Drosophila melanogaster: one gene and its partner. The protein of the gene in region 2 interacts with the protein of the main gene of each other region in a pairwise test. Each region holds a gene or a part of one and is shown on either strand. Other genes may lie near its edges.

Evidence for each region. The genes of interacting proteins can lie anywhere in the genome.
Region 1: the proteins of ATPsynCF6L (region 2) and Mst57Da interact in a two-hybrid assay, tested with the Drosophila melanogaster proteins (one large-scale study listed by BioGRID).

The regions. Positions count from the first base shown.
Region 1 is NT_033777.3:25,829,512-25,835,652, forward strand, and holds Mst57Da (Male-specific RNA 57Da), read right to left. Parts: upstream 2,389-6,141; 5' UTR 2,366-2,388; coding exon 2,138-2,365; 3' UTR 2,064-2,137; downstream 1-2,063. Other genes in the region: Mst57Dc (Male-specific transcript 57Dc), read right to left, coding at 1-173; Sfp96F (seminal fluid protein 96F), read right to left, coding at 599-700; Mst57Db (Male-specific RNA 57Db), read right to left, coding at 1,271-1,393. UniProt on the Drosophila melanogaster protein: Transferred from male to female during mating and may affect egglaying and behavior after mating.
Region 2 is NT_037436.4:5,009,909-5,016,414, reverse strand, and holds ATPsynCF6L (ATP synthase, coupling factor 6-like), read left to right. Parts: upstream 1-4,281; 5' UTR 4,282-4,319; coding exon 4,320-4,615; intron 4,616-4,670; coding exon 4,671-4,818; 3' UTR 4,819-4,971; downstream 4,972-6,506.

The sequences.
Region 1 (6,141 bases), on a different chromosome or scaffold from region 2:
GGCGGCAAGGTTAAAATCCTGGACTTAACTATTGGCTCGTTCTTCTTTAAACAACGCAACATGTTGTGCATATTTCTTTCGGCCTTTGCCACGTTTTTAATGTCGGGCGTCACACCGTTAGATCCCAGGACTCCACACAACAGAAGCAGGATCAAAAAGTGCGTTCCGTGCATCTTTACAACTTGGTGAATGCTAACGATTGATATTCTTTGTAGTTGCTTTAAATAACATGAGATGAAATCGTTAATTGGCATAACAAATTGAATTGGTTAAAGGAAAATATGTTATAGATATTCGAAATGGTTTATTACAATAGGGGTTATATAACCTAGTATATGACCAAAACATATTTCTCTACTGCTTCGGATTTATCAACCGATTATCGATCCAATACCAGGACAATTATATTTTATATCTCCAGTTTATTCCAAATATACTATATATTTAAATCCTTGATCAATGCTTTTTAATATACATTAATTTGAGAATAAAATAATTAGCTTGTACACAAATTAAACGATAACAAATAAATAAAAAACATAATAAGTTCACATTTTATAGAATCTTTTATTCTTTTTCTCACAACATAGAATGTTGTTTAATTAATATTTATTACATTATGATTCACATTGGAATCAGCATCTTTTTGGGCCACAGCGAAGCCAATAAGCAGCAAAAAATAACCCGCAAGGAACTTCATGTCTATCAGAAGAGAATAGAAATAAAACACAGACCCGGTTTTTATATAGTTTATAAGCCAAGTGTTGCATAAGCCAAGCGAATCGTTTAATTCTTTTAAACGGTGGCCAATTTTAATATCGTTAAATCATTTTTCTTTCGGTCGTACGAAAATCAAATCTTTTGAATATTACATTTGGTAAAATTGGTTTTGCTACATTTGGTTTTGGTACATTTGGTTTTGGTACATTTGGCATTGGCACCTTTGGTTTCGGTATCAGCGCTTTTTGAAACACTTGCGTTTTTAGCATAAAATATATATATTAAAATTTATATTTAATATAATTAGGCAAAAACATCTGATATACTGTCAGATTGTGACTAGTCGTAAAAGCCATGACCATTAATAAGTTTTGGCCAAACAAAGCTTCGAACAAAAGGTTTATGAAAAAATATATATGGTATATTCTTGTATACTAAAATAGATTTAATATTTCAACTTAAAATAAAATAAATAGGCCATTGCTATTACATGCAAACAATTAAGTAAATGTTTTATTGAATTCTGTGCCTGCAATTATCAAAAGCTCATTTACTTTGCGGCGCTGGGACTATTGATGTGGATCACATTCTTGTTTTCGTTGGTGTTCGGATCCGCAGATTGGGCGAAAGCCACACCGGCAAAGAGCAGAACAAGTGCAGAGGTGATCTTCATGTCGGCCAGTTGGAATTGGAAGTAATGACAAGCTAGGGGAGTGCTCTTCTTATAAGGCCTGGGTTGCGTAAGCGATACTAATCTAAATGCCAGACAATTTGAAATTAATTGCACGATGAAAGAAAAAGAAGTGGAACTAATTCCTTAAACCCGAGACATAATAGACCGATTACAATTTAAATAACACTTGATTCCTTTTGTCAATCTGACAAACATTTATATAATCTGAACTTACCTGGCACGGCGATAGAAATCTTTCTTGATTTCATAAAATTAGTATTAGTCTTTAGCAAGCATTTTTAAAAAGCACGCCAATGAAATTTACTAAGCCGAAAAAAAAAGTTTCTTCTTGAATTCAAATTCATAATCACACCTGTTTCAGAAGGATATGAGAAAGCAGTTGTCTGGTTACTATCTACCACAGTTCTCAATGACTTGTCGTGATAACAATAGTCAGTTAAAATAAAATTATTATTTTCCCAACAATATTGGGAAACGTAAATGAAATTTACTGAACCGAAGATACCTTTTTGTTGTTTGAATTCCAATTCATAATCACACCTGTTTCAGAAGGATCTATGACAGCAGTGGTCTGGTTACTATCTACTCCCATGTCTGGTTGGGGTTTCAAAAGTCAGTCCATGTAGTTTAATATTGTAATACATAGATTAAACACTCTCATAAACATATATTGTGATTAGCGATCCATTTTATTAGAAGAAAATAACCTCTGACTCATAATATTTAACTTTCGGCTGGAGCATCTGCGAGTCCTGCTTCAGGAGCAGCTGGAGCTGCGGCAGGAGCTGCGGCAGGAGGTGCGGCAGGAGCAGCAGCAGCTGCTGCGGCAGGTGCAGCTCCTGGCTTCTTGGCACCGATGACGATGACGTTGTGATTTGTATTCTGGCTCTTTTGGGCGCTAACCAAAGCCAGAACAACCAGCAAAGTGACGAAAAGAGCTAGGAACTTCATATCGGCCAGTTGGAAGTCAATTTAAAAGAAATGAGGAAATGCAAGACCGCTTATATAGGCAAAAAAGATCGCCAAGTGAAACAAATCTTCAAATTCGACACGCTTGACCTTATTATACGTGGTTCATTCGAGGAAAATAATGTAATTATCATTGGCATGTGTTTGATTATGCTGATATATAAAAAAAGGAATTAAGTGGAACCCAAGCATAAGTTACTTAAAATATAGAGCATAAGCTTTCAAAATATCATACAAAATATTTTTTTCTTGCATATTGCTGTTACAATCACAATTTCGTGTGTGAAGTGAAACGAATTTGGCTGTTAGTTAACCGTAAGCTACGACGTTGAAGTGCAGTCTAAAAATCTCATAATGAAAGTGTCACGAACTTTAATCGTTGTAGGTTCTCTGCTCCTGATTCTCAGCATCGTATTAACCTACAAATGGATAGCATACAATCATGCTTACCCGAAAGCACAAACAGAACTAACGAATTCGACGAAGAAAGCAAATCTCATCGATAGCAAGGCTAAGAATAAAAAGCACGTGCAGAATTCCTTAGCCAAAAAGGCAGCCAAGTCGGTGGCCAACCAATCCAAGTTCAAATTGGACAAGGTTTCTAAGAAAATTCCAGTCATACCCCTGCTCGATGTTCTTAAGGCCAAAAAGCAGCCAAGTCGTGGACAAAATATATTCTTCCATGAAACCACGAATTTCAAGCGGATAGAAAAGAGCTCTGTGGTCCAATTGACGGCACGGGAGGCCTGTGCCATTGAATCGGCCGCCCTTCACAATCCAGGCCTCACTGTATTTGTACTTTTTGCCGGCGCCACTCATCGCCCATCAAGTGGAGATCCGCTGATCAGGGCTGTTCACACATGAACACGAATATATTTAAAGACTTACAATTTTGGGCTCCGTTCATATCTTATGTAAATGAATCGAGAGCGATAAATTATATTTAGGATTTTGTTATCTAAGGCGACATGGGTGCATTGCTCAAAAACATGTAATTTAAGTGCACACTACATGAGTCAGTCACTTGAGATCGTTCCCCGCCTCCTAAAATAGTCCCTTAGTGGGAGACCACAGATAAGGTCCTCGCCGCTCAAGATAGGCAGATGTGCCCGAGCGTGGGACCTCGATAAGGCGGGGACTATTTACTTAGGCCTCTGCGTAGGCCATTTACTTTAAGATGCGATTCTCATGTCACCTATTTAAACCGAAGATATTTCCAAATAAAATCAGTTTCTTACAAAAACTCAACGAGTAAAGTCTTCTTATTTGGGATTTTACATTTGGTCAATCGAGCCTTTAATCGACTCTGCAGTTTCCCCCTACCAAAGGTAAGGAACTCAGAGAAAGGCCAGCTCCTTTAAGCATCTTACAGCTAAAGGTAGCAAAAATAAGTGACTCTTGTTTCCCCCTACCAAAGGTAAGGAACAGAGTATAAATATAAAAAGCAAAAGATACAAAAGAATCTTTTATGTTTTAAAACAAGCACCTTATAGTCTATAGCTAAAGGTTGCTTTGTGTACCATTATAAATTGTGGTAAGGCGTGCTTGAGGCCATACATCAGCAATTGTGGAATTAAAAAGTGCATAACAAAAGTGCCTTATAAATGCTCTAATAGCATTAAATCAGCTCATAAATAGAGTGCAGTGTATATGCCATAAGAGCATAAATTAAATAAAAAGTGCCTGAAAACAGTGCCTTATAAATGCTCTAATAGCATTAAATCAGCTCATAAATAGAGTGCAGTGTATATGCCAAAAGAGCATAAATGCCGAAATAAATGGCTAAAAAACAAAAAATCTGACTGGACTACAAAAATAATAAAACGTGCCAAAAAAAAAAAAAAAAAAAAAAAAAAAAAAAAAAAAAATCATCTTTAAACATCGACGGAGCCTTAAAGAAGAGAAGGAAGTCAAATTCAAAGGAGCCTCTACCAGCAGCAGAAGCAGCAACAACAGCAGCAGCAGAAGCAGCAACAGCAGTAGCAACAGCAGCAACAACAGCAGCAACAGCAGCAGCAACAACAACGACATCAGCTAAGTCAAAACAAGAATTTTCTGTTTATCCAAACACACATATATATATAAATACATATAAAATACATATACACGTACTATATATATTAAGAAATTACAAAAAATTTTCAAAATGATGTCAGAAAAGACTATTCAATTCCTTAAGAAGCAGTCCGAAATTATTTTGGAAATTAGAAAGTTGGAAGTAAAACCAACATTAACAGATGTAGAAATTCTAAAATTAAATGAGCTTCAAAAATGTTTCATTGCTAATCATAGCAATTTGTTAAAGATCGGCGTTGTCGATCATGAATATTTTAACGCGAAGCAGTATGATTTAATAATGATGGTGTTAGAAAAAATTAAAAATAAAAATGAAAAAATTAAGGGCGAGTCGGTAGAAAACACTTTCCCTAAATCAAACACTGTCCCTAAATCAAACCCTCCCCCTACATTAAACCTTGAAATGCGTGGTCACCCTGAAAAAGAGGGTATAGCACAAAACAACGCTTTAAAAGTAGAGCAGGCATTTCGTAATAATGTTGGCCAATTTCGAGTATATCTAGAAGATACGTCTAAACTAATAGACAGTAGTCCAGATTTCCTTAAAATAAGGAAAAATAAAATTGAATTTTTATGGCATAAAATAGATAACCTGATTGAACAGGTGAATAGTCATTTTGAGAGTTCGCTATTCGAAGAAGAAATTAGCGAACTTGAATTTGACAAACAAAATATTCTTACAGCCATTAATAGTCGACTCAGTGGCACAATAAATAAAGCTGAAATGTCGACGGTTGTTAAGGCGGAGGAGTTACCAACCCTGCCTAAAATACAGATTCCCACCTTCTTTGGTGATTCCAAAGAATGGGATCTTTTTAATGAACTCTTTACAGAGCTCATACATGTGAGAGAGGATCTCAGTCCTTCTCTCAAATTTAATTATCTAAAGTCAGCATTAAAAGGAGAAGCCAGAAATGTGGTTACTCATTTACTGCTCGGCTCTGGAGAAAATTATGAAGCCACTTGGGAGTTTTTGACCAAGCGATATGAGAATAAAAGAAACATATTCTCAGATCATATGAATAGGCTTATGGATATGCCAAATTTAAATTTAGAATCCAATAAGCAAATAAAGACATTTATTGACACGATTAACGAGTCAATTTATATTATAAAATTAAAGGCACAATTACCAGAAGATGTGGATGCAATTTTCGCTCACATAATTCTTCGGAAATTCAATAAAGAATCACTCAATTTATATGAAAGCCATGTTAAAAAGACAAAAGAAATACAGGCACTTTCTGATGTCATGGACTTTTTAGAGCAAAGGCTCAATTCTATATCATCATTCTCACAGGAAGTAAAACCTGTAAAGAAAATGATTAATAATAACAAGAATAAAAATTATAGTGACAATTGTGCATATTGCAAACTACCAGGGCATTATTTAATTCAATGCCATAAATTTAAAATAATGAATCCAGCAGAACGGTCTGACTGGGTAAGAAAAAATGGGATTTGCCTAAGATGTCTGAGGCATCCGTTTGGTAAAAAATGTATAAGCGAGCAGCTTTGTTCGACTTGTCGTAAACCTCACCACACGTTACTTCACTTTGCAGGTCATAATCCAGAAAAAGTGAATACGTGTAGAACAACAGGTCAAGCCTTGTTGGCCACGGCCTTGATTCAAGTAAAGTCGAGGTATGGAGGCTTTGAACAATTAAGAGCATTGATTGATA
Region 2 (6,506 bases):
AAGGAAATCGAGTAAATTGACAGGTTGACTGCATGACTGCGGCCAAAATTCTTCTCCTGAGCTGCATATGTACTTAAAATAATAGCCAGCCCAAATTAATTGAGTTACATTATGCATTAGTGCGTCTCTGTGAGCCAAACCCCAAAACAGCAGTAGCAACAATGCATCAGTTGGCAAGTGAAGCCGAAATATTTCACAGCCATCCGAGCTGCTTGAATTGCCAAAATGCAATTGGAATTACAGCGGTCGCTACAGAGGGGTCACACAGATACACACCCATACACGCACACACTCGGGCACTAACTGACATGCTAAATATTGCATTCATCTTGTGCATTGTGTCCATGTGGCAAATAATTATGGCATTAATATTCCTATGCAAATATATGTGCACAGTGCTTTGTTCGCCATATCTCGGCATCCGTGAGATACAATCCGCCTGTTTGGCTTCGGTGGCTGGGGGTCGGGCAGGGCATGTGTTCATTAATACAATTATGACCGCAACAGGCGTGGGGCATAAACACGACTTCAATCCCTTAGTGAAACCATGCACGAAATATATTTATACTCAAAAAAATTTCTTTGAATTACAGAATTCAGCTGACCTAAGAAATATTCCAACTTGCATGCTCTATCTAAAAGCCACCAAGTAGCTTTAGTTTTGTTACAAATTTCCTGATTGATCAATATAAAATTCATTATAACATTAAATTTTGTAAGATAACGAAAAAATAATTTTTTTTCCATTTCTAAATGTGTTTGAAGAAGAATTTAGACTACCTGCTCATAAACAGCGGATTCTGACTACGAACCCAACTTTTTTCCCTGTGCACGCGATATCCGCTCATTTTTTGGCCGCCGAATCGGTGAGGTAAGCTCCATTAGTGAGTTTTGTTTAATCGCATCAGCCAGCCGAAAATCCAAATCAACGGCAGCTGCAGCAGCGGCAGCATCCTCCGGGCAGGCCGAAATGTATAATCAAGCAGGTACAGACTGTTAATGGATCTAATACCCCATATCCCGTATTCCCGGACTCCGTGCTCCATTGCAACAAAGACCACCCAATGGCACCCCCTTCTAAGCACAGATTTGGTTCGCTCTAATGAGCTCTGCGTGCAGCTTAAGGGCAACTGTAGCACGGCTGCTTCTATTTGCGGCACTTTGGCAATATGTGGCTAAAATTACTTGCAACTGCCGGCGGCAGGGTGCAGATACATCACCACCAGATGCATTTTAATTGGAATACCGAAACAGCGAGTAATAGCGCACATCGAAAAAAAGAAAGAATAGTAGGGCAAACAAAAAGGCGGCGACTGCCCAATTAGAAGCCTATTAGTGGTAACCACCACCCCAACACCACCCTCTTCCAATCGGAACTGCTCCATTGTTGCTGGCAATTTTACCAGGACGAAACAGAGCGCCCAAAGCGAGACAACAAATTATGCCAAATGGCTAATGAATAAATATCCGCAACCAGCACTCTACTCCCGTCCGCCGGATAGTTGGCATCCTTTGAGATGCACTAAAGAAAATGGAAGAGTGCCTGTAAGCCTTAATGATAAAATAAAGAAATCATTTTGGAAAAATATTCGAAATTCATTGAATATATAGTAACTTAAATAACTTGCAGGAATATATAAAACGCGAATTTAACATATAATACAAAATCATTTGTAATATCATTTAAAATTATTGTATTTTTTTGAAAACATTTGTGGTTTAAAACAATACAGTTGCACTCATGTTTCTTGATTGCAAAAAAGAATCTTTCTACAGACATTTCCATATTTGCAGCTTTTTTTTTTAATATACACAGCTCTATGATATAGGTTACAATGAGGTAAACGATATTAAAATTTAATTTTTTCCCCCTTTCTTTATCCTCTAGTTAAAAAACGTATTTATCATTTTTATTTGCCGCCGCGTTGAAGTTGCACTTATGAGAGAGCTCGGCGAAAAGCGCACACACGGGCAAAAAGCGGCAAATGCAGTTTTGTATATCGCTCGGTGCCTGTGTAATTGTATCTGTGTGTACTTTGTGGCATGCCACATAAACTTGATGCTGCTGCTGTGTGATATTTTAGCATTGAGCAGCTCTCAATCCCCCAGCATCGCATCCCGCAACCCCCTTCGCTCTCGGTGATATTTAAATCCTTGTTCCTACGCAGGGATAGCTGTTACGCCGGCAAGGACTCGACTCAGTTGGCTTTTGTATGCGCATTAATGCAACGACTCTCATGTTTATTCACACACAAATTTGCAGCGAATACAACGCACAGAGACTGCGGTGATAGCGGGATGCATTCACAATCCCACACAGAACCCCGGGACTCGGATACACTCGCACTTGGCTGAAGCAATCTGCTGGCAAATGCGCTTTACATTTTGCACACGCTAATACAATTTAATGGTCGCATTAATTTGGCGCATCTGTTGCATTTTAAAACACGCACACACAGCCACATCATGTACGAACACCCACACAGTTACGTGGATAGACTGGCACACAGATGCACAGATACACAGATACACAGATACACAGATGCACAGATACATATACACGTTCAAGGAGCGGCAGGCAACCGCAGGATACTTTGCTCACTTTGTTGTCGGCGGGGGAGGTTAAAGCATTTGCCAACTGCAAATAAAGTTGCGCTCAGCTAAATATTAATTCTAACCAAGTTAGGGGAAACTACTTTAATGGCGGGGGCGTGGCAGCCGCACAACTGCTTAATCCTTAGCTCTGTGTAGTAGTCGGAATGAAGATTGAGATACATGCGCTCGGCACCAGACAAAAAAGACCTGATATATGCCACCAGCAGGCAATAACCGTTTCACGTCTTCTTGTTTTCGCCAATGAACGCTTAAACTATTGGTGCACCGAACAAAAATACTAATAGAAATAGGATCGCAAGTATGTTGATAAAACAAGTTTCAATATTTTAAACACAGATAAAAAACCTCTTAATATTTATAGTTCAACTCAGTTTTTTTGACAAAAACTTATATTAGTATTTGTATTAGAAACTTGATCGATTCAAAACACGTAGGACGACAGCCAACCCTCTTCATTGGAATGTCAGATGCGTGGGAAGTTTGTTATTGCTGCCAATTAGGTTGCCATTCTGTTTGTGCCAATGTTTGCATATTATTTCTGCCCAATTTGCATTGATGCAATATTGTCCATGTCCCGCGCAGCGCTCCCCCCTCCCCCCCCCACACCTCGTTCCACTACATGGCGGCGTCAAATGCAGAAAATGTCAAAATTTAAATATTGAAAGTGACGTTGGCGTACAAAAACCCCTCGTGTTGCGGGCGTTGCACTAAGCGGATAAGCGCTTGTTAAATTTTTAATGCGTTGCATAATTTTTAGTTCGGTGTGGATATTTTGCACACAATATGTACGTACTATATGTTCGTATATTTTAATTCGAGTGGCGGATGCGAAACGCAGCATGAGTGCTGGCTGCATTTGAAATGAGCCGCATGTGGCGATGGCCGATTAAGCCCGGTTTAGAAGCTACACATTCCTCATTTCGCACTCGACAATGATCCATTTATTTGCACTGTCAGCGATGGTGCGGGAGGGGAAAAAAGGTGAATGGAAATTTATATTAATTATAATTTTCACAGCCATGTCTTCCCATCAATTATCAGAGTTTGTCCGACGGCTCAGTTCTCTTTTCAGCTCTTTTCTGCTCTGTGCATTTAAATTTTTCCCCTGCAAAGTCCTTGATAAACATTTTTCAATTAATTTTTATTTGCTGCCGCCGACATTTCTTTGTCCACACACGCGCATATATTTATGTATCTTGCTGCGTGCACATAAGCAACAGCAACAGCAAGTTGACGGCAGCAACATCATCGCCTTTATGTGTTTCACGTATTTCTTTAACGGATTTCCACTTGTCTCACTTTTTGAGAAAAACTTGTCGAGATGGCACTCGCATTGTCAAGCCCACTCACACACAGACATTCGCAGATACGACGAGTCAGACAGAGAGAAAATCTTACACGCTCGGGAATAAAGGAGAACGGGCAGCAACGGTGCGTAAAAATTCGTCCTGGAGCAGGGAAGCACTTCAGATGCGTTAGCCCAAAATGCGGGGTTTGATAAACGCAAAAAATACTCAAAATAAAAGATATAAAACGTTTAAAAATATAAATTCAAATCTTAAAAAAAGATGGCTTACCTGTTCTGAAGACAATGATTTTATTTTAATTTTGAAATCAAATTACCCTTGAGTAAGATATCTCAGAATCATATTTTATCGCATAGAAACAGTATCGTGTCAGCAGAGAACAAAACTAACAAAAAAATGTTTAGCCGTTTCCTAAAACCAAGCCTAGTTTTATGTAGGAGTGTGAGCAATACCGCATCCCTTCGCTACAAGGATCCCATTTATCAGATTTTCCTGGACAAGGTGCGCGAGTATCGGCTGAAGAGTCCCAAGGGAAAGCCCGTAGATCCTGGTCCGGAATTCGAGGCGGAGCTGAAGGAAGTCACTGAGCGCCTGGCTCTGCAATACGGCGGCGGCGAGGGCGTGGATATGCTCGAGTTTCCGAAATTCAAGTTGCCCGATATTGATATTGATCCCATTTCGGTTGATGATCTGTAAGTTACAGTTAAATTGGAAAAAGTTTTTATAAAAATATAAATATTTACTTAGACCAGAGAACCAACCAAAGCCTGAGAAAAAGAATAGAGATAAAGAAGTAAAGGCCAAAGAAAAGGGTGGGGAAAAAGAAGTGAAAGCCAAAGATGGCAAGAAAGCTGACGAACCAAAGGGCAAGGATGAAAAGGACAAGATAAAGTAGATCATCACTAAAAATAATCGTTTTAAATGTTGTTAAAATTTTCGCACAATTCTTAATACTTTAAAAATTATAAAATGTTTATGTTAAAAGAAAATGAATTTAAATGCCTGCAGATTCGAGCTACCCGTTTGTAGCTGTTCCAGGATAGAGCCGAAAAAAGAACGCACCGAAATTTTTATTAAGCACATACATGCATAAGCAGCACTCACACACACCATGCTTTTACCATGTTAAGTAATTCCTTAAACAACACAACAGGTCGCCGCCATTCGCATGGCCTTGTCCCTCCCCTTGGTCCTTCGTCCTTTGGCGCTCCCGCACGCCCCATCCCACCCACTTCCATTTTTTCCGTGTAACTGACGCTGAGTGGCAGACACACAGATACTCACACAAGCAAATTGAATTTAATGCTTTCTGCTGTTGCTCTTGATAAAACGATGGCAAGCGAGAGGAGGCAGCGTGTAAAGGACGAGCGTGGGAGCGAGAAAAACAAATCAAGAGACGTCGCGAAGGAAATACAAGCCAAACGCACAAATAAATACGCACAAGTACATAAATTTAAATTATTTTCGTGGCCTGGCCTCGCTTTCATTTATGCTTTTTTATTTTATTATGCCGCTCCGCTACAGTCGGCCTCAAGGATCCAAAGATCCAAGGATCCGGCATTTGACTACGGTCCAGACGTCCTGGCACACTTTCTGAATGCCATACGAGTGTCTGGCAGTGCGGTTGTATCTATACCCGTTGTATCTGTGTCTATATCTCTGGTACCGTTGCTGTTAATCTGTATCTGTAGCTCTGTGTCCTGTAACTGTGGCAGCGCATCTTCAGCTGTCTCTTAGCGAACTATGCGCCCGCATCGAGCAAACAACTACACCAACACACCGAAGACGTCCTTGGTCCTTGTGTAAGGCATGTTAACTGGGATTTGACAGCTCGTAAATAATATTTCGCTTGTTTGTTGGCTCGGTACAACGAGAGCAACGTCTTGCACAAGGTTGAAACAAAGACAGTGGTCTGAGTTCCCAACTTTATCTTTTTGCCTAAAACAAGGTAATATTCTTGTATTAAACCTGAGGTTTTATACATTTAAATGGCTTCTAAGTAGTTCAATTAAAATAAAATTAAAATATTTAATAATCTCTAATCACAAAGGAGCAGCGTTTAATAATATCATATTTCCAATCTTTGGTAAATCTAAATTATTACAAGAAAAACTGTTTTATTTAATTATATGCATATATTTTTTATCATAACTTTTTTCTTCTCATATCCGCTCATTCCTTGACATTTTCAACCACTGTGACCTATTCGATGGCAGCCATGTGAAAACGAGAAACGCATTTCATTTTTAAGCTGCTCCTTCTTGGCTCTGCTTGTTAAACAGTCTTTTTACATGACATGTGTGGGCGGTGGTTGGTTGGTTGGTTCATCCGGAGAGTCAGATTCTGATTCGAATGAGATGCGGTGGCTGGATGCTGGCTGGTTGCTGGCTGTCCTGGCATGTCCCGATTTTTCGGGACCAGGCCGCCACTCTCATTATGCGCACTCTCCTCGTTGCCGGCTTATTAAATTTTCATAAAGCACAGGCGCTCGTAAAAATTGTGCTCGGCCGCTTTTAAGCGCAAGTGGATTAAGATTAAAGCTTCAAGGAATATGACTTCAAAGGCGGACGAGCCGTAATTAAA